2 linked regions of the Alligator mississippiensis genome follow. The protein of the gene in region 1 interacts with the protein of each later gene in a biochemical or structural test. Links are inferred from orthologs where the notes say so. Each region holds a gene or a part of one and is shown in the gene's direction. Other genes may lie near its edges. The genes, in order: CABIN1 and MEF2D.

Region 1 (10,850 bases):
TCATGTGCAGTATTTCCTTAATTTCGCATTTCACTCAACTGGGATAATAAAAATGGACATGTTAAATTAACTTTCATTTATAGTCACTTTCAAAGGTCTCAGTCCTGCAAACTCTTAGGTATGTGCATTGTTGCACTGAAATCAGTGAAGCTGCTGAGGGACATAAGTAGTAAGTGGTTGCAGGATCAGTCTTAGTCATTCTCTTAGAATCATTCACAGTCTTAGCATTTTTGCCAACATTGAGTTACATATAAAACAGATACTAAATTTATTGTTCATCACTCATAGAATCCTTTTTAATTGTATGCACAATCCAGAATCTGGATGTGAAGAGCACTAGAAGCTTCCCCTTTCATGTACAGAAAAAGTGAATTTGGTTTTACTTGTTAATATTTAAAAGTGCAAGAAAACTCTCTTCCATCGTTTCAAAACCCCTGTGCGCTAAATAAAATAGCAAATGCAGGTTTAATAGGTCTGGGGCTTATCTGATCAATACAATGTTTCAAGGAACGTTGTTAGTGAATTAACTGAGTTATAACAATGCTCTTGCCTCCTCGCTGTCATTCTCTTTCAGCCTTTCCAACTTTGGGAGACATGAGTGTCTATGTAGTTCCTCAGGAGGGCTCTTCAATTAAATTTAAAACTTGCATACTCCAATAATTCTGTAGCACTGCACATGATAGCTATAACCTTCCCAGTTGCTATGGAGGGGGACAGCCCTGTCCATGCCTTATGAGGGATGAACAAATTGTAACAAGCTGAGAACATTTTTTTTTTTTTTTTACTGACCCTCAGTTTTGATTCTGGTTTGCAAAGCAGTCTCTAGGAACTGCCCTGCTTCATGGGAGGACAAATGGGGATGCATGACAACAGTCCTGAATTTTCTAAGGGTCATTCCTGTTTTTCTGTCATATCACAGGTCAGTTGCTGGGCCCTATTGGCTTCCCACTGCTACTCATCTTTAGACACTTTCTCTTTCCCTACTGATTTTGTAGCTCCCCATTTGTAGCTTTCTGTCTGCAGCATTGTACTGCCATGACAAAACATCCCATAGTTAAGCAAAATCAGAGTGGAAGAGCTGGATCAAGAAACTTGCTGAGACCAAGCTTTCTAATTTATGGACTTTGCATATTTTGTAAGAGGGTAGTTAGAAAATTCATCTGAAGTGTGTGAGAGTTGGGGGTGGATTGTTTTTTCCTCTTGACCCGAGTACGTGCCATTTATTTGACTTTGGGAAGAGGTAGGGAGGTCACAGTTGACAACTATTAAATCACTGTCCTCTCCTGCTTTGTAAACAACTAGGGCTGAATATACTCCATGTTCATGTTAGCGCAAGAAAATGACCACTAGCTTCTTTAGAGAAGGATACTGTCATTTGTTTTTTAGTACTTGAGAAGAACACTCACAGGAAAGTCAAACTGAAATTACAGCACCTTGTTGCAGCATATAGAAAAACCAAGGGAAGCTGGACATGGTTCTTTGGGTAAACCCAATATCTTTTATTAATAGTAAAACCAATATCTTTTATTAATAGTTGGTCTAATAAAAAAAAAAAAACCAACAGATTTACCCAAAGAACCTTGTCTGCCTATTGTGACTGGGGCAAGCTTTCATGCTCAGTGCAAGCACCGGTCTGCCCCATGTCTAGAGGTCAGCTACCCACCTCACTTGTCTGCCATGCCTTGATGTAATAATATTGATGTGAGAATTAGGCAGGAGGCTGTCCATGATACACCCCAATATTGGGGGGGCTGTCCACGGCTCCATTCAACCCCTACACCGCTGCCCAAGCCTCGCAGATAGCATCTCAGGCAGCCAACTCAACCGCCCCCTTTGCTCATTAGCTGTGGCCCCTTCCCTGGCACCATCGGCTTCCCTTTAAGCCCTGGCCCCATCTCAGGCCAGTCGGGACCCCGAGCTTCTTTGCTCTATATGGGCATCCCTCACAGTGGGCCCCTGGTCCTTTTGACTCCTATCTGGGTCCTGGCCCCAGCATTGACCAGTCAGGTCCCTTGGGTTAGGTCTAAGCCTCCTGCCTGCACTCAGAGATCAGGGTCCCCCATTCCCTCAGGTGCTTCACAAAGTATGCCTGGCCCCATGGGGTCACTCACCCCAGCAGTCTCAGGCACTTCAAGAAGCTTATCTGGCCTTCCCTGGATTAGATGGTTCATATAACCCACCTGAGGATGAGGGCTGGGGTTAAGGTGCCCCTACCCACATTTCACCAGGGTGGTAACTGGCTTGGCATTTTTCTGGAGTTCCCACACCACTGGGAGCCCCACCAGACCACCCACTCCTGGAAGGGTGCAGTTTTAGGTCATACGCTAGGAGCAGGAGGCTCTGGTCCATCTGCAAGATGTTCCCATGCAGCAGCTCAGCCAGGTGATGTTTCTCACCTGCCCCAGCAGCAGGCTGCTCTTGTTTATAAAGGCAGCCAGAGTCCTAAAATGGCCACCAAAATCAAACAGCTGCAGGCACCACCAAGTGCCCCGCCACACCTATGTCCTTCGACCAACACGGCTACAACCTACACCCCTGAAACAAGGAACCTGGAAACATTTTCTTCTTTCCTGTAACATTTCTAAAGATTTGTTACTCTAGAAACAGCAAATATCCCAGGTAGGCCTATACCTGAAAAGGAATTATTCAGACTGCTCCCATATACCACCTCCAATTTGTTCAGCTGGCCTTAGAAAGTGACTGCCTAGCATTTGATCCTCCCTACTTGTCAGCAAGAGGAGATTTTTTTTTTATTTTTTTTTTACAGTTCCTAAACATTCAGATCTTGAAGGATCAGCTACTCATTGAGCTGAGCCAATGTTTCTAAGTGTCCGTGATTTCTATTTATTTTTCAAGATCTCAGGACAGATGTGTTTGCAAATCCAAATGCACTTACCTTTACTAGACTGTGTTAGATGGGTCATGGTGTGTGTATACATATAATACAGAAGACTTTCTTTTATTCTAAGTCTTGGGGACAAGGACTGTTCTTCCTATGTATTTACACAGCAACCAACACAAGAGAGCTGATCAAGCTTAAGGACAGCACTAGAATTCAAATATGAAATAATAATGATTCTTTTTGAAGTTATGCTGCCAGAAGTATAGAGAATCTGCTGTAATATTTATGCATACCCAAGCAGTTCTTAGGTTATATGGAGTGTATGTACTGGGGCTTATCTTTCCTTCTAAGTCTGAAGTTAAAGTTTATTTTTAAGTAATGTGTACATTGGAGATCAAGAGTATTTCTCCTTATACCACTTAGGTTGAGAGAGATGGCTGTAGCATAAGTGGTGTGGCTGCAGAGTGATTAAAGGCTCTTTAGATTTAATCAAGTACAATACTTACAAAATCTTCCTTCAAAAAATTCCTGCTAGCTTGAGTTGAAGCACCCTTGCTATCTCTCCTGCATCCAAAACTGGACCTAACCCTGAGGGGTTTCTGTAGCACAGTTTCCTGCATAGTTCCCCTCTCCCATCTTCTGTCACAGACCACACATGACTGAGACAATATTTCAACCTCTGTGCTGTTGCTAGAATCTGCTGCTAGTTGCTAACATGGATACAGTTATAACAACTTGATACTCATTACTCCATGAGGAACGAGAGTATCATCTTATTTCACATACTTCAGCAAATAACTATCAGATATCTTCTAATCACCCTTTAGATTATTTTATCATAAAAGAATCACTTACTTTAGTTTTATTGAATGTATTTAATAACCAGCAACAAAAATGGCACTGAGGGAAGGTCTTTTTTGAAAGAGATCAAAGATCCAAGGCCAAAACATGACTGAAGCTTTGATCTGTATGTTTCAGATGCCATTAGGCACTTGACTAGAAAGAGCTCTTGTGTAATACGCAAGTTACAATATGCCTTCTAGTGGTACTTACTTCAAATTGATTTTAAAATCTTGACTGAAGTAAGAGGAAGGCCCTCTGGCTTATTACAAGACATTCACATAGTGATATAAAACTACACAATACTATGTGCACATAAAATAAGAGTTCATCATCACTGCATTCTTAGTTTGAGGCATAATGTTGTCCCTAACCTCTCTCATTCCCACACAAAAATCTTTGTTTTGAGAGTGCTTTAAACTCAAACTGACTGGCCTGTCAGAAGACGTGAGTTTGAGACTCCAGTGTTGCTGATGCTTTAGCTGGTAATGCAGTGAAGATGTAGTTACAGACTGCAGCATGAATTAGCACACCTTGTTCGGGGCTAATTCAATCACACTGTTCAGCTAATCAAATCCTTGTATAGTTCAGTCCTGTTTCCCGGAGACTATGTTTTCTCAAGCTAGGCAGCCTCTGGTGGAGTAACCTGAATGCAGTAACTTATGTTTCAGTGGTAATACCTATTTCTTGCCTGTAGGGGGAAATAGGTTGCTGTATGCAAGAAAGCCTGAAATGTTTTCCTTTACATTTGATTTTAATGTTGCTTGTTTTTTACATTGGAAATTGGAGTCTTATCTACATTGGAAGACTTGTGGTGACAGGGGAACTAGCAGAACACCATCATAAGAACTAAAAGATGGTGAAAACTGAGCAATTTGGAGAGAAGGATTTTTTAGTGAAACTGTTAAAATCTGTTACTTTTGTTAATACCTCAACTTAGAAAATAAACATTTTTGCTAAAAATTCAATCGCTCTTTGAAATAAGGTGTGAATACATACAATAAACAGTGGCATAATATTTCTGGGAAAAAGTGAAGCTTCTCTGTGAAGGTTAAGGATTGAGAAAGAGGGAAGGTGAGAAGGATCAGGAAGAAAGACGATAAAGTTTGGCGTTTGAGAGAGAGGTTTTCTGATGAAGTTGGACCTTTATGAAGAGTTCAGAAAAGACTAGGCAGAGGAGAGAGTGCTGAGGTAGAGCACTGCAGCAAGGCTGTAGGTGAAGCCAGGAGGAACAAAGTCACAGAGATGGACCATGAGAGGGGCTAGGTAACAAGGGAATGGTACCAAGAGTATGGGAGCTTGATGGTCCCTGTCAGGAAAAGAAAGAAGCCCTGATGCCAGGACACCCAGCAAGACATGGTGACAGGCTGATGCCAAGGCAATACCCTGGACCAGGTGGCATGTCCTGGTGCCCTAACATCCTGTGAACAGGCGCATCTTGAGCCCACGAGGCTGCATCAGTCCAGGGCGGAGCTTTGGATGCTATTGGAAATCTGATTCATCTACACTGGAAGATTTGTGGCGACAGGGGAACTAGCACAAGACCATCGTAAGAGCTAAAAGATGGTGAAAATGGAGCAAGCTGGAGAGAAGGATTGTTTAGTGAAACTGCTAATGTTTTTGTGAACACCTCTTTCACTTAGAAAATAAACTTTTTTTTGCTAAAAATTCAGCAACTCTAAAATGAGATGTGGATGAATACTATAACCCAGGGGTGGACAAAATGTAGCCCGGGGGCCGGATGCAGCCTGCCAGGCCATTCTATCCGGCCGGCCTGCGGGGCCCCTAAAAAATTTAGAAAATATTTAACTGCCCTGGGCTGCCAGTTACGTGGCCCTCGAGGGCTTGCCAAAACTCAGTAAGCAGCCCTTTGCCCAAAATAATTGCCCACCCCTGATATAACTAGTATCAGGCATCCAGGTTGTAGCTGTATGGTCTAGAGGCCAAAGGAATCAGGACGAGTGGTCGAGGTGATATCTTTTATTAGACCAACTAGATTTTTGCAAAGAATTTGTTTTGTTTTTTGCAAAAATCTAGTGGATCTAATAAATGATCAGATCCTCTACCACAAGTCCAGATACTATACACAGTGGCGCACGGGGCCAGCTGAGTCTGACCCGATGGCATCGGGGTGCTGTGATGACAGCGGCGCCTCCGACACCCTCATGCACATCCCAGTGCCAGGGAGGCGCAGGGGCGAGGGGTGCAGCTGCTGGCTGCCTGCCCAGGGTGGGCTGCCACGAGCCCAAGCAGAGCACAAAGCCATTCTCTACCCACCACCACCCTGGCTCCTCCCCCTCAACTTCAAGGCCCCTCCCCTCCCGGAAGTCCCGCCTCCTGGAGCCGCGCTCAGCATCCGGCTTCTGCATTGGCTGGTTGTGGAGCTGCTGTTGAGCCAATGAGAGCGCGGGTTGTTGGTGTGCCGGGCTCTAGAGACCCTGGAGCAGGTTGCCGTGGAGACCGCAGGTGAGGTGCATCCCCCTCGGCGCGGGTGGGCCCTGACCCCCCCCCCCGTCCGAGCTGAGCCGGGCCGGAGCCCGGGGGGCGGAGGGCGGCAGCGCGGAGCGGAGCGGAGCGGCCCCGGGGGCTGCACAAAGGGCCGGGGCGTGGGGGGGGCCGGGGGCAGCATCAGGCCTCGCTCTGCCGCCCCGGGCCCCGCGTGCTGGGGGCAGCGCCGGCCCCGGGAAGCAGGAGCCTGCCTCCCGCTGCCGGGTGCTGGGCGGCCCGGCCCGGCCCGCGGCTCTGTCCTCTCCCCCACCTCCCCACCGTACTTGACCTCCCTTCCCACGAGGGGCCTGTGCCAGCTTCTCCCCGATCCCCTCTGCCAGCAGCATCCTCGTGGTGGCCGAGGAGATGCTTTCCCACCGAAACGCATTCTCTCCCATGCACGTTTGCTGGTCGGTGCCACACCTGCACGCCGCAAGCCAGCGGCTCCCCTGTTCTCAGCTGCGGACCGCGAAGCGCCACGTGAGATGTGCCTGGAGCACAAAGAGCGAGTGAGTAAACTGGATGCTCCAGCAAGCAGCTGCTTAAACTCCATTTATATTTACGATATGGTTTCGACGTGCAGGGGTGTAAAGGATTTCTACTCTGGACTCATTCAAGAAATGCTTGGATGCTTATCTTGCTGGGGTCCTTTGACCCTAGCTGACTTCCTGCCCCTGGGGCACGGGCCTGGACTTCATGATCTTCGAGGTCCCTTCCAGCCCTAAAGTCTATGAAATCTATAGATAATTTTTGTAAGGTTGGAAGGGACCTTAGTAGGTCATTGAGTCTGGGCAGAAAAGAGTGCTGGGGTCAGACAACCCCAGCTACGTGCTTGTCCAGTCTAGGATTGCCCTCTACTGTGAGGTTATGCCTAAGTATGTGGTCTGAGGGTGCCTGAGGCTTTGTCAGTACCCTCAAGTTATTGTGCTCTGTCTAAACTAGTATCACTTGTTTGCTGGTTTAGTTAGTGTAACCGTTCTCCTAACATGCATATGGTTATGCTGGCATGAATAGTTTTAAACTGGGATGGCACATTCACATAGGAAATTATACCACTGTAGTTGTGTCCAGGCTCAAGCACCTTGCTTAAATGCAGTCACACCCCCAACTGATGTGCCATCACAAATATTGAATGGAAATTAGGTGTCACGCCTGCACGGAGCAGCCCATACCTACAAGTGAACCTGCTTTGCTGTTCTCAACCTGGAACATGAACTCCATGTGAAATGTATCTGGACAAACAGGTACTAGCGTTTTAAAAAAGGGTGTGGAGCAGGTAGAGAAGGTCCAGAGGCGGGCAGCAAAAATGATAAAGGCTTGGAAGGCAAACCAAATGAGGAGAGGCCGAAGGACAAGGCATGTTCAGCTTGCAGAAAAGATGACTAAGAGGGGACATGATTGCTGTCTGTGCGTATCTGTAGGGCTGCTACAAAGAAGATTGAGAACACCTTTCTTTCTTTTGCTGCATAGATCAGGACAAGGACCAGTTGCGTGAAATTGTAGTAGAATCGGTTTAGATTGGGTATCAGGAAAAGTTGTTCACTATTAGGGAGGGTTTGGAATAGACTGCTTAAAGAAATTGTAGGGAACCTTTCCCATATGAAGTTTTCAGGAAAAGGTTGGATGGACATTGGTCAGAGATGATCTAGAAGTACCTATGCCTGTGCTATGGGTATTTCACATGCTCCCTTTCCAAGTGGGGCTGGGAAGGAATTTTTTCCCCCTCCTATTTTTACCTATATCAGGATTTTTGGGGGGTGTTTTTGCCTTCCTCAGAAGCATTGGGGTTGACTGCAGCCAAGGCTGGGGAACCTGAGTGGGGTGTACCAGTGCTCCTACTGGGACTAAACTCCAGGGTTTCCTAGGTAGAGGATCTCGCCCCTCTGGTCAGGGTCAGACAAGTTGACACATTTGGGGCCTGGATGGATTTTTGCTTCCTGGTCAGATTGGTACAGACTGGGGGGGGTTTGCCTTCCTCTGTAGTGAGGAGTGTGGCCCTCTTCCTTGGATCTCTCCAGTGTAGTTTAATCATTGAAGCAGCAGGACAATGACTGCAGTTGTCCCCCTGCTTTTGGCAGTTTAGGGTGCTATGCCTTGCAGATGTGTGGCAGGGTTGATTGTGTAGTTTGGTAATAGATTAGACAAGGAACAGTATGGAATGGTTTGCAATTAAATTAAAACTGCTGCCATCTGTAACTTTTTCTTTAGAGAGATGAGGGGTGTCTAGTGAATTATCTGCCAAGCTAAAGAGTGTTACCTTTAGCAAGTGTCTGTGGTCCTGATTGAGCCAGGTGCTTAAGCACGTACTTAAAATGAAGTGTTTGAATAAATAAGCATAAATACACACCCAGCTTTAACTAAGGTTACAGAGGATTTGAATTAAGGCTGTTGTTTGGTTAAATATTTTTTTAAGAGTTGGTGAGCATGTAGCAGAAAGCTCCCTTTTCCTCTTGCCTGCATTTGCTCTCCCCTCTTTGGATATGTTTCTCCTTTTCTACCTTTTCTTCCTTCCTCTCTCTTTCACTTTAAGATAAGGAATTGTGTTTTAAAATTTGTATGTGTGCATTTTGTATCTCCGCTTGTAGTTTGGTATTTTTATCTATTTGTGTGCCATGGCATTTGTAGTTTATATTTTATACTCCTCACCTTTCATCTTTCAACTGAATGTATTTAGTTTCATAAGTGAGTTATACATTGTAACAATGTTAACAAGGGCAGGAATCAAACTGCCCTTCCCTGTATCAGGCAGGCCCCTGAAAGCAAGTGAATCAGTGATTGAATGTGTAACATAGTAGCAGGCACCAATTAACACCTAGGAAGCTGCAGATCAACCAAGGAAGAACTCAATAGAAGACAATGTAACAACTGGGAAATCTCTAAACCTCACTGATCAAGGGCTAAAAGCCCTGGCCTGAGGTAATCAACACCAGGGACCAACTTTTGGGCTGAATATCTCCAGATCGACCACTCCCAGAGCCCTATTCAAAATTCATCAACGGACTCCCAAACCTGCACATTCATGCGAATGACCCCTGGGGCTGACAGATGCCATCCACTAGCCACCGAGGGGCGGGGGGAAGTCCCACAAGGGTCAATGACCCCTGGATTGGGCAAACCTGAAAACTGGGGAGTCACCAAAGTCTGCCAAGGACAGATAAAAAGCAGTGAAAAGTGACCCTCAGTGGCGCCCTCTTGATCTCCAACTTGACCAGACCTGTCCAGCCAGAAGGACCAGCCGGCGACCCCCTTCTGGAGGATAACACCATGCTGAAAGAAGCCTCGACTGGCCATCAATGGCAGACTCCAGCGCTTGTAGGATAGGTATACCTGACTCTGTAGCTTGCTACTCTGTGTGTGTGGGGGGGGACCAGCCCCAAGGTTTATGATTTAACTCATTACAGTGTTTCAATCCGCCTAATAAACCAGAATTTTAAGGATCCCGAGTTGGACATTTGTAGCCAACATTATTTGGTGGAGAACACAGGCATTATTCTAGGATTATTAGCAGATTGGTAATTGGGGAGACTGTCTCCAGATAGAACCCACGTCCACGGAGGTGGGTGGGCAATAGTCACCCAAGGGAGTGGGCAGACCCAAGGAGGGTCTGGATTTAGTCGTCACCCAAGGGGGTGGACATATCCCAAGGAAGGGATTTGGTTGTAGAACTGCAGGGGCAGAGTTGGTTGGGAGCGCAAGGGCTCAAGGAAACTGACAGGCTTGAGGCATGTTGAGGAAAATGTCTTTGTTTAGGAAAAAAACCCCTAAGATTGGAGCAGGAGGCCAAGAAGATAAGTGGGTACGGAGGGAGGAAATTTCCTCTCTCCATAGGGAGATTCTGAAGGGTGAACCCAGTGCATGGAGGGAGGATGTGTGCACCCCAGGCTTTTCCATAGGGGACATTGAATCCCAATTTGAAAGATTTTTGCCTTTGTGAAAAACCCTCGGTTCAAAGGCAACACAGTGCCTTGGTCTGGCTTCTGTGGCATTCTGTAACAACAGCAGTTGAGGAAAAAGCTCAGCAAGCCTCTGAAATTGAGGAAAAGGAGGAGCTAATCCAAATTCTAAAAGATAGATGTGTTCAATTGGAAACTAGTAATCAGACTCTAAAGGGGTTGTCTTGGAACTTGGAAAATGAAAATGAGCCATTGAGAAAAATAAATCAAGGCAATGCCCAACAATTAGAATTATTGGACCAAGAAAAGGCTAGCGGAGAAGCCTTGCAAAAACTGGTAAAGACAATGGCTAAAGACCAAGCCGAGAAGGGAGCCAAGGTCAACCATGGCCCCTGTCTAAATACCATTAACTGTTTAAAAAAGGAACTCCAGGAGCGCAACCTGCAAGTAGCAGCTGTTATCCAGGGAGACCAAGCCAGGGATCCAGACATCCCCTTCAATCCAGGAGAGATTTGGGGTGGGGAGATGTGGGGAGATCCAGAGGGTGCAGGGGAGCCCTCTCCTGAAGACCCTAAGTCAGATCAGGAAAGGACCCTGGTGCCTTAGGTGAGTGCAATCACGCGGACCTGTCACTCGGGATGCTCAGGGAAAACCCACAGAAACCACACAGGTGTCGGTCCCCCTCAGTGGAGCTGATCTAGCAACCCTGGGCAAGACCCTGGGATCTGCTAACATTAGGAATTTGGGAAAGTGGTTCCAGAAGTCCCTGAATGTAGTGGACTGTGAAA
Region 2 (10,241 bases), on another chromosome or scaffold:
CTAACCCGGCCCTGCATCATCAGCAGGGCCTGAACGAAGCACTCTGCTTGGGGCTCTGTGCCACCAGCTGCTGGCACCCACCCTGCTGCAGCAGGGCCTGGCACCCAGGGATAAAAGCCTACTGCAAGGAGAGCCGACCAGTGGCAGGGATGCAAGCGGGCGCATTCACTGCGGCATCATCCTGGGTTTGCACCCTCCGATGGGCACCGGTTGCTCTGGTAACAGAAGTAGGTTGCTATTTTCCATGCTGAGACCTCGTTCCCAGGGACAGTGAGGCCCCTCTGAGCTGCTCCCGCAGCACAGAGCAGTCTAAAAGGGGTGGACGTAGCCCTCTCCACAACCCCTCTGGTGCTTGGGGCTGGCGGGTGGCTGGCCAAGCAGCCCCAGTGTCTCCCTCCACCCCAGCACCAGCCCTTGTGTAATAAGGAGGCCATGTCAATCGGAGCAGCCACGAAGCTGCTCCAACTTCTATTACAAGGGGATGGGGGAAATGGTCAATGCCAGCAGGCTCTTCCTAGCTGGGTACAGGTCTTCAGCTGGCCTGAATCCATACAGCGGTACTGAAGGAGTGGCACTGAAGGTTAGGTGACATGATTTGGGGACCTCACCCTAATGGTAGTGAAATTATATGTGTGTATGTATGTGTATATATATAACCACATATGGCCACCCACACACACACATATATATTTAATTACCTTTAGGGTGAGGTCCCCAAATCATGCTGCTTAACCTTGACTTCAGTGGAGCTCCATGGATTCATGCCAGCTTACGACCTAATATGTGTATATATATTATATATCTAGTATAGTATTATATATATATACTGTATGTGTGTGTATATTGATATATATATATATAGATAGATGCATGCACACACATGTACACACATAATGTATGTATGTGTACATTGTATGTGTGTGTATAAATATACACACACGCACACATTGTGTGTATATATGTATATAATTTTGTACACATACATTGTATGTGTATGTATTTTTCTCCCTCATTTTTGTTTCTAGCCTGAGTTGCATGCACAGGGGCTGTGTGCATGCTTGAGGACCCAGGAGTCCTGCTCCTTCCCCACTGGCCTAGGACAGTGGAAGGCCATTTCCAGGGTCATTTGCCTGTGTACAGAGCTCTGCCTTGCACTGGGGTGTGGGAAGAGAGTTACTCAGCACTTGGTTCCCAAGGGAAAAATTGCAGCTTGCACTCACTTTCCAAAATATTCCAGGCTTCACAACCACATTCCAGGGCTGATACCCGGGTCTGATCCTTCATTCAGGGTGGTCACGGGTGGGGGGAAGGGGGGGGAAACTCTGAAGAAAGGCAACAAAACTCCTCTTACACAAGCGACACACCGGGGTCTCCTGGAACAGGGGGGTTATCTATTTATTTTATTGTTGTTGCACAATTGCAGCTGATTGGAAACCAGACCCGGGAAAATCCACCCTCCTGGATAGATGGCAAACAGCTTAGTGCGATGACTAATTCTAGCTCCCTATAAACGAAGTGGGCGCTAAAAATAGCCCCCGTTATTACAACAGTAATAATAATAATGGAATAAATAACCCGAAACAAAAAGACCTGAAGCCAAACAAACAGAAGTCCGCCAGGAAGTGGCGTGGTGACATCACGCGGGATGGGGGTGACACGGATCTGACCCCAATAAGGGTGCGGCATTGGCCTGCCTGGCTTCACACAGGCCCCATGGGTCAGCCTCCTAAAATAATATGAAATAGGGATTTCTTTGGTTGAGTTGCAAAAGATCTAATGTGAGTAAAGATGGTCATGTGCAACTTTAGGGCCAGTCAGAGAGTGCAGAACCTGCTTCTGCAATGAGATCCTATAATGAACAGGCTGAGAAGTGCTTTTGGGGGCTGGCAGGTGGGCAGAGTATTCATTGCAGCCATGCAATGGGGGACGGAGGTGCTAGCAGCTGTACAATTGCAGTTGCTGCTGTGACATGACAATTGAAATCATGGGACATCCCTGATTGTGGGGCATTAACAAGGCTTGAACCTAGCACAGACCTGAAGAAGCAACTGCTAGCTGCCTGTCTGCAAGAGTAGGTTGTTATCTTGCTGCTCCAGGAACAAATGTCATTGCTATTCTTCAGTGGTGCTTGGGTGCACCATCATGCACTGATAGCACCCAGCATGTGGCTAGAGATGGTACCCGAGGGGCTTGCAAAGTTAGAGAGTGGGACGGACACAGGGAGAACCACTGCCCCCCAATTTCGGGTGGGCATGGAGGGGTTCAGGCTGTGGGTCTCAGGCTCTCTTCTGTTCTTGGGGAGCCTCCAGCAAAATGACTTATCGGAAGGGCAGCGAGACCCCCGTCTCCTGAACCACACACGCACTGTGTCATTTGTCGCCTACCTTCCCCGTGCCTGCCGGGAGCCTCTTCCCACATGCCCTGCATTTGTAAAGCCTCCTTGCACACACACTCGCTCACACTCTTCCTCCTCATCCTGAGTCACTGGCTTTGTGGATCCACTTCCCGCCCCGCTGGCGCTAGCACCGAGGTACTTGGGGAAGCTGCTGGCTGTGATGAACAGGCCTGCTCTCGCTAACGCTGAGGCTCTAGTGCCTTTGCAGCCCTTGGGGGATGTAGGGCGATCTCTTTGGCTTGTATTTTTGTGCAGCGCCTTGCACTGCAGGGTCTTGCTTTGTGCTTGGGGGGACAGGTCATAAGCTTGAAAAATAATAATAATTCAGTATTTGATTGGTGGTTCCTGCTCCCATTTTGTCCAATACATCTAGTTAGGGTCTGATTCCTAGTTGTTCTCCTGGAACAGGAGTTTGAGAGCTTTGAAGCCCTTGTTTTGAATCTCAAAAACTGGCTCTGCCCTTGATGTAAAATTTCTGCTTTTTCCCAGAGGGGCATGGGAAACAGCCAGAATACAGGGCCCTGTCCCCTATGTGGCATGGGGGAGCAGGGTAGGGAACCCTCACCCCCTTTGCCAGATCCCTGCTAGCCAGGGAGGCTTCTTATTAAGGTCCCTTTGGGGTGCCAAAATGGCCTAGAGGGTGAGAATTCAGCCTTTGAGGTCCTTGAGCACATGCGGTGCACTCACAGTGGCAGCAAACAGGGAGTGTGAACTGCTGCTTGCATTTGTGGCACTGTTCTCCTCTCTCGGAGCTACTGTCTCAGGCTCTCTGCAAACTCTGGCAAGCTGCACTTCGTCTGCTCTGATTGCAACCCTGAGCTGCTCATCCCAGCTGTGGAAGCTGGGAGCATCTGTCCCGGGCTTGGAGCATCTGTCCTAGGTCTATGTAGGGGGTGGGATGCTGCAGTCAGAACCATGACATGACAGGATTTGTTTTTGAGGGCAAGCCACAGCATCATTTATCCGGTATGAAGCTCCAGGAGGATGTGAGGCTGGTGGAGAGAGGCTCAGACATCAGGGCAGGTAGGAAAACAACTAGGGCAGGGATCGGGCATGCAGGATTGACTGTGCCCTGAGACTGCGTGGGCGTTCATGGCGTAACCTTTGTTCCAGTCTTGCTAGGGTCAGACTGGATTAGCAGAGCGTCTGCACCCACAGTTGCCAGGCCCAGGATAGTGCTCTGGCTTGACAGTTGGGAAAGCTGCCTAAAGGCTTTGCTCAGGGGTCCAGGGCCCCGCGGTCCCACTTCTGATCCTGGATTGGAGCCCATGTGCTTACAGGTCACCCTGGTCTCTGCCAGGCTCTTGAGGCTTCACAGCGGGGCCTGTGGGCATGGAGGGACTGGTGGCAGGGAACAGCAAGGAGGTCTTTGGGGGTCTCAGGCTGCCCTGGCTTGTCCCCGATGGCTCCCTTTGCCACTTGACCTTGGCATGACTTGGCTGGTATTTGCTGCCAGTCTGTGGCCCTACCTGCTGACTGCACGTGGTTATGGCTGGGGGCAGGGAAGTCAGGAGTCCCGGGCTCTCTCCTTGGTTGTGGGAGGGGGGTCTGACTTCGTGGTTAGAGGGGTGTCTCACCTGGGTAGCCGAAGTTACTCCCCAAACAGCGATACCGAATCCCTGAGTGTGGGATACACTCCTTCAAAGTCTCTGCACCCGGTGAGGCACAGATGGGGTGGGGGGCAACTGAGGCACAGCGTGGTGAAATGGAAGGCTGCAGGGCTGGAGCAGCTGTGGATTCGGCTGTCACTGACTCTCCGTAGGACCTTGGTCCAGTCCATTTGCTCTGGTCTGTGCTGCCACTGTGACACAGGATCTGATTGCACCTGCCCTCTCGTCTCCTGGGTTTAGCGAGTCCCGCCCCATGTGCGTCCTGGGGCGCTGCCAGACAAATGACACTGGCTTTCCCTGGCACCCGGCTACGGCAAGGGCCTTGAACGGAACCCAGGTGTCCTGGCCTGAACCACTGGACTGAGTGCCCCTCCCAGCACCAGGAAGGGAACCCAGGCCCTCCTCGCCTGGCTGTAAACACCAGCTCAAACACTCCCACCCCCGGGGAGAGAACCCAGGCGTCCTGCCACAGGCCAACTCGACGCGCTAGAGGAAAGAAAACCACCCCTCCCACCAGCAGGAACCCAGGCGTCCTGGTGTGGGCGGCCTCTAACCACTAGACGAGACAGCCCTCCCCCAGCCTGGGTTCAAACCCAGGTGTCCGGACCTCCCGCTCCTGAGCTCTAACCACTAGCCCGGAGAGGCCCACCTGGCACCAGGAGTCCTGACCTTCCTGTCCTCTGCTCTAAACACTAGTCCTCAAAGCCCCTCCCACCCCCAGGAAGGGAGCCCAGGCGTCCTGACCCGGGCTGCCTCCAACCCGGGTCCCAAGGGACCTTCGCAACTTGGCAGAGAACCCAGGTGCCCTCACCCCCCCAGCTCTAACCACTAGCCCCTCCCACCCCCTGGAGGGCACCCAGGCATCCTGCCCCCCTCACCCCAGGGTGGGGGGGTCCCTGCCCCCCCAGCTCTAACCACTAGCCCCTCCCAACCCCTGGAGGGCACCCAGGCGTCCTGCCCCCCTCACCCCAGGGTGGGGGGGGGTCCCTGCCCCCCCCAGCTCTAACCACTAGCCCCTCCCACCCCCTGGAGGGCACCCAGGCATCCTGCCCCCCTCACCCCAGGGTGGGGGGGGTCTCTGCTCCCCCCCAGCTCTAACCATTAGTCCCTCCCACCCCCTGGAGGGCACCCAGGTGTCCTGCCCCGCCTCACCCCAGGGTGGAGGGGTCTCTGCCCCCCCAGCTCTAACCATTAGTCCCTCCCACCCCCTGGAGGGCACCCAGGTGTCCTGCCCCGCCTCACCCCAGGGTGGAGGGGTCTCTGCCCCCCCAGCTCTAACCATTAGTCCCTCCCCCAGCCTGGGAGAGAACCCAGGTGGCCCCCCCCCAGCTCTAACCACTAGCCCCTCCCACCCCCTGGAGGGCACCCAGCCATCCCGAACCCCCCCCCCGGCGGCGGAAGGATCCGGGCCGCGCCGCACCAAGCTGGGGGGGGGGGGGGGTGGCCCATGTTCCCGCCCCCGCGCCCCGCCCCGCCATTGGTCGGCGGCGCCGCCCGTCAGCGCGGAGGCTGCGCCTGGCGCTACGTTGTGTCTGTGCCCGGCGGAGTTACAGTGTAGCGGCGGGAGGAAGCGGGGCCGGGACCCCCAGGCCGGGCGGAGGTGAGGGGCTGCGCGGGGCGGGGGGATGGGGAGGGGGGGTGCAGGGGTCCATGGGGGGGGTTGCTCCCTCTCCAAAACAAGCCAAGATGGTGCAGAGGTGAAGGCAGCTGGGGGGGGGGCAGGCCTGGGGCCATGGGGGGGGCAAGGCAAATAGTGGGGTGGGGGGGGCCGCAGGGTCCTGCCACCCCCAGCCACAAGCTGCCAGTAGGGGCAAAAATATGGTGGAAAGCAAGGTGGGGAGGGTGTTTGAGGGTGCGGGGGCAGCCGCCAGAGGGGCTCCAGGGTGCTCACCCATGTTGTTCGCCTGTTGTTTGGGGGAGGGCGGTTGTGGTGGTGGTGGTGGTGGTGGTGGGGGGGGGGGTTGGTTGACAGCTGAGGTTGTTGCTGAGGGTGACGGGAGGCACTTTGGAGGCTGACATTTAACTGCGGGCTCCAAAATGGTGCAGAGGTGAAGGAGGATCCGTCCTGGGGGGGAGAGTGGCCTCCGGCGGGTGGCGGGGGGAGGAAAGGGGGTGCTGGGTGCCCTGGAGCTGGGCACCGCTCGCTGCAGCTGTTTCTAGGGGCGGCTCCAGAGCAAGGCATGGGGGGGTGGCTTCGTGGGGGTGCGGTGGAGCAGCCCTGGGCACAAGGGGCTGGGCTGGGCCGGCAGGGTCCCCCCGTGTGTCAGGAAGAGCCGTGCCCGGTATGTGGGGCATGGGGCGGGGGCCGAGGGGGCCAGCGTTTGATTGGCAACAGCAGCTTTTCGGAGGGCCGGTGGTAAATAGGGTCCAGGCGCTTCAATGCCTTGGCCGCCTGCCTGCGCGGGGAACTGACAGCTGCGATTGTTTGTTCCTCTCCGGTGGAAATGTCGCTGAAGGCTGGTGGTTGGGGGGGGAAGGAGACACTTCTGCTTGACAGCAGCTGGGCGATGGTGGTGCCCGACTGAAGGGCATGGACCCCTGAGGGCGTGGGGGCTGCGGCCGCTGTCCCTGGCTCCATGTCGGGGTGCAGGCAAGCATGGGGTCATGGCATCTGCCTGGCAAGGAGACCGGAGGTGTTTTTGTGCATCTGGGAGGGTGCAACCCCATCACAGGTGGTAGGAAAGTGGGATCTGGAAGGGGATCAGGGCTTGGCTCTTTATCCACGATGCAGGAGAGCTCTGATAGCTTGCCCCTAGCTTGCAGGTGGTCTTTCTTCTTGCATACCCATGTGCACACACACACACTTGTCCTTTCTGTGTCCCACACGGCGCTGAGAAAAGCCTGGGGTCAGCTGCAAGATGCTGTTTACTTTCTGCCCTCTGTCCAGCTGTCACACAGTTGTCATGTGGGGCCGTGGTGGTCTGTACTTCCCTCTACCTGTTGGGTCAGCTGGGCAGGGTGAGGGGCACGGGTCGCTGGCAGCCAGCAGAGGAAAAGCCCTTTAAAAGCCCCCAGTTTTTCATTAGATAGTCCCTAATTTCTGAGCACCTCCTGCCCTACCAGCATGGCAAGGCCTGGTCTGCCCACCCAGACCTTGTCCTGGCATAAAGCAGGCATCCAGGGGCACTAGTCTCATTCAGATAATTTTTTGCACTAACGTCGAAAGTCAATTTATTCCCCTGTTTGCATGGGGACAGCGGCCAGCACATTTCTGCGGCAGTGGGTCCACACGAGGCGAAGTCATACCCCTTTTGCCATACTGGGATAGCTAACGAGCTGCTGCTTGGCATGGTGTAGACCAGTCCATAATCCGTTTCTTCTCTCTCCAGGCGCTGGAGCTGGCAGTTCTTTCTTTGGCCTGTGTTTGGCGCAGGGCTTGGGGCCTCTGTTCTGCACAGTGCTTTGCTCTGAGCACAGTAGAAGAGGGGGTAGAGGAGGTACTCCTTTGCTGTGGTTGTCTGGTACATTTGCGCTGGTGGGCATAGCTGCAGGAAGGATCGATACCTTTGGTGAACAAGTGAAAGCTGCCCCAGGGTAGGGTTCGGAGCAGGGCCAGGGACCCGCAGGGTTGTTCTCGGGGATCAACCATCACTCTCCAGCACAAGCTTTCAGCTCCTCTTTGCTTGAGTTCCCATAGTTGCTTTGAGAGGACCTGGCAGTGTGAGCCCCCAGGGAGAGCGCTCACACTGCCCCTGCCGCTGCCCTGCAGAATGGCCTCAGGCAAGTCACTTTGCTGCTTCATGCCTCCATTTCCCCCTCAAAACAATACAGTGGGGTTATGGGCACTGACCTGCCCAAGGGATGGCAAGCAAAGGAGCCATGTGAGAGCCAGGGACTTTATTGTCCTTTACTAAATGAGCGAAGCCGAGGTAGGAGATGGTCTCAGAAGTGCCATAAACGGATGCTATTCAGTGTCCCAGTGAATTGGGCAGGGGGGTACCCATGGGGACCTTTTACGCAACTCTAGTAGCATAAAGGAGTCTTGATGTGTAAGGTCTGTTACTGCTGGAGCAAGGGGAAGACCCCTTAGTGGGACGAGGGTGAGGCCTGGAGTCTCAGGTGAATCTCTCTGTAATATGACGACTCGCGTATCGGTTCTTTTCTTGTGCTGTGGCAGCTTGCGGCATCTGCACAGGTCACCTGCTGTCTGGACACAATCCATAGAGGTGCGAGATTAAGGCACTCCATGGGGATTCGGGAGATTTGGATCTATACCTGCCTCTGCCACAGACTCCCCGAGTGGCCTTGGTTGCCTCACTTAGGTTTGCTCTGGACTGCAAAGGACTACCAGTATAACTTGTGGTTAGGCTTAGGGGGTGGTTTTTGCTAGCAGTAAAAGCTTAAGTGGGGATGCTGGGATAGCGGTCTGACTATCACAAGAGGTGCTAGCTGGGTGGCTCAGCATAGACACGGTTCTACTACCAAATCCATGTCTCATGGGGTTGGCTGAAATGGTATATCTCATGGCTTTGTGTGCATGCTAGGAGTCCCGAGTTGGTTTAATACATAGGTATTCTACTGGTAACATGCACCTAAGGTGGACCTGGGGTTTGCTTCCCGGCATGGGATAAGCTCCACTGAGATAAACCCTTTTAGACCATCCTAGCCACATCCACACTGAATAGGTGTGTCCTTTGTGTTAGTCCTAACATCACTCATTGCCGGGGAGGAGGGAGGAACTGGGCACATGTAAAAAGATCTGAATGAATCCCATCTTGCTTTCAACAAGATGTCATTGGAAAAAGTTCCAGTTTCTTTTCCTAGGTGTGCCCCTCTCTTAAATTAAGGGAAGAATCTTTAAAGTGAAAATTAGTATATTCCTGGGTCAGCTTCTGTTGGCTTGGACTGGGCCCCAGGACACATGGGTTCTTCTCATCATGGATCTGCGGTGGACCTGGCACATGATCCTTGGCCATGTCACTTCATACCGGGAGGATGGAAAGCATCTGGATGGTTGGCCCCGGCTAACCACAGCCAAGGGTTGTCTCTGGGCAGGTGCTTTGGGTGTAGGCTCAGGGCCTGATGCTGTCAGCGGAGTCCGTTGTTCTCCAGGCACGTGAATCTGGGCAGGAGGTTTCTGGCCAGAGCTGCATCTCTGCTAGGGAGGAAGGAGGTGAAGTCCGAGCAAAGACGAGGCCTTTTGTGGCTTCCTCAGGAGCTACCAGGTTGAGGTAGAGACTACAGTAGAGCCAAAGGGTTTTTGCAGAAGTAAGTAGGTCAAGGGAACGACGCGCTGCCTTGTCCTTCAGATTTCGCCTCCCGTGTCTGTCATGGGAGCTTCTTAGTGAGATCGGGCCTCGCAGACCTACCCCAAATTCCTGCTCCAGTGGTTCGAAGACCAGCCAAGTGACATCAGAGCGAGTGCAGAGGCTTTGGGCATTGCCCAGTCCTTGTCTTGGCTGGAGCCTTTGGGCATTGTGGCTACTCCAATCCTCCTAAGCTAGGCAGGGCTGAAGGCATGGATATGGATTTGATGCTGGGTCTGGCACTCGCTTCAGATTGTTTTGGGTTTTTGTCAAGCAATTACAAAAGGGTTTTTAAACAGGCTAATCTTCTCCACATTTGTCCATGTTTGGGAGACCCCTCAGCCTCCTTCTTAAGCATGTTTGAGCCGCGGTTTGCTGTGTTCCTGGTAAGATGGATCTGCCAGTCGCTGTCTGTCATCTTTCAGCGGCCCGGCCCTCCCAGTGCCGTTGATGCCAATCCTCTGCTCCAGCCTCAAGGGCTCCATCTTCCCTTTGCGTTTCTCTAGGTTTGCAGCTTTTCTTTGGGTTTCTTCCCTCCCCCTTGCACAGTGGAAAGTTTCTGCAAAGAGTCCTGAGAAATATGTTCCAGTCTCTTGATTCTGGGGGTTGGGCCAGGGCTAAACATTGTAGAGAGGGGCATGTAGGATGCAAGGGGATGATCTGTCTCCCATCTGGTTTGAACTGGGAAGTTTTAATTACTGGCCAGATTTGACCAGATTCTCACAATTCCCTGCCAGGTATTCCACAATGCTCATTGGAAGAGGCACAACTTGGCGGTTTGACTTTTACACAGCGCCGGGCACTCTGGCATCTAGCCGAGCTGCACTGCAAATAGCAATCGGTCCATAATCCTTTGCAGTGATTTCCCACGGGGCTGTGCATGTGGAGGGTGGTGGGAGGCTTACCCCTCCCCCCCTGCGCTGCTCCTGTAGCTGGTACAGCGGGGGGGGGGGGGGGGGGGGGGGGGGTTGCCACCCGCCCACGCAGGCA

The links.
Region 2: the proteins of CABIN1 (region 1) and MEF2D form a complex in vitro, tested with the Homo sapiens proteins (2 studies listed by BioGRID). The link is inferred for Alligator mississippiensis from reciprocal best matches to the Homo sapiens genes CABIN1 and MEF2D.

Annotation. Positions count from the first base shown.
Region 1 is NC_081833.1:18,632,328-18,643,177, forward strand, and holds the start of CABIN1 (calcineurin-binding protein cabin-1), read left to right. Parts: upstream 1-6,367; 5' UTR 6,368-6,654; coding exon 6,655-6,678; intron 6,679-10,850. UniProt on the Homo sapiens protein: May be required for replication-independent chromatin assembly. May serve as a negative regulator of T-cell receptor (TCR) signaling via inhibition of calcineurin. Inhibition of activated calcineurin is dependent on both PKC and calcium signals.
Region 2 is NC_081838.1:17,120,907-17,131,147, reverse strand, and holds the start of MEF2D (myocyte-specific enhancer factor 2D), read left to right. Parts: upstream 1-5,484; 5' UTR 5,485-5,605; intron 5,606-10,241. UniProt on the Homo sapiens protein: Transcriptional activator which binds specifically to the MEF2 element, 5'-YTA[AT](4)TAR-3', found in numerous muscle-specific, growth factor- and stress-induced genes.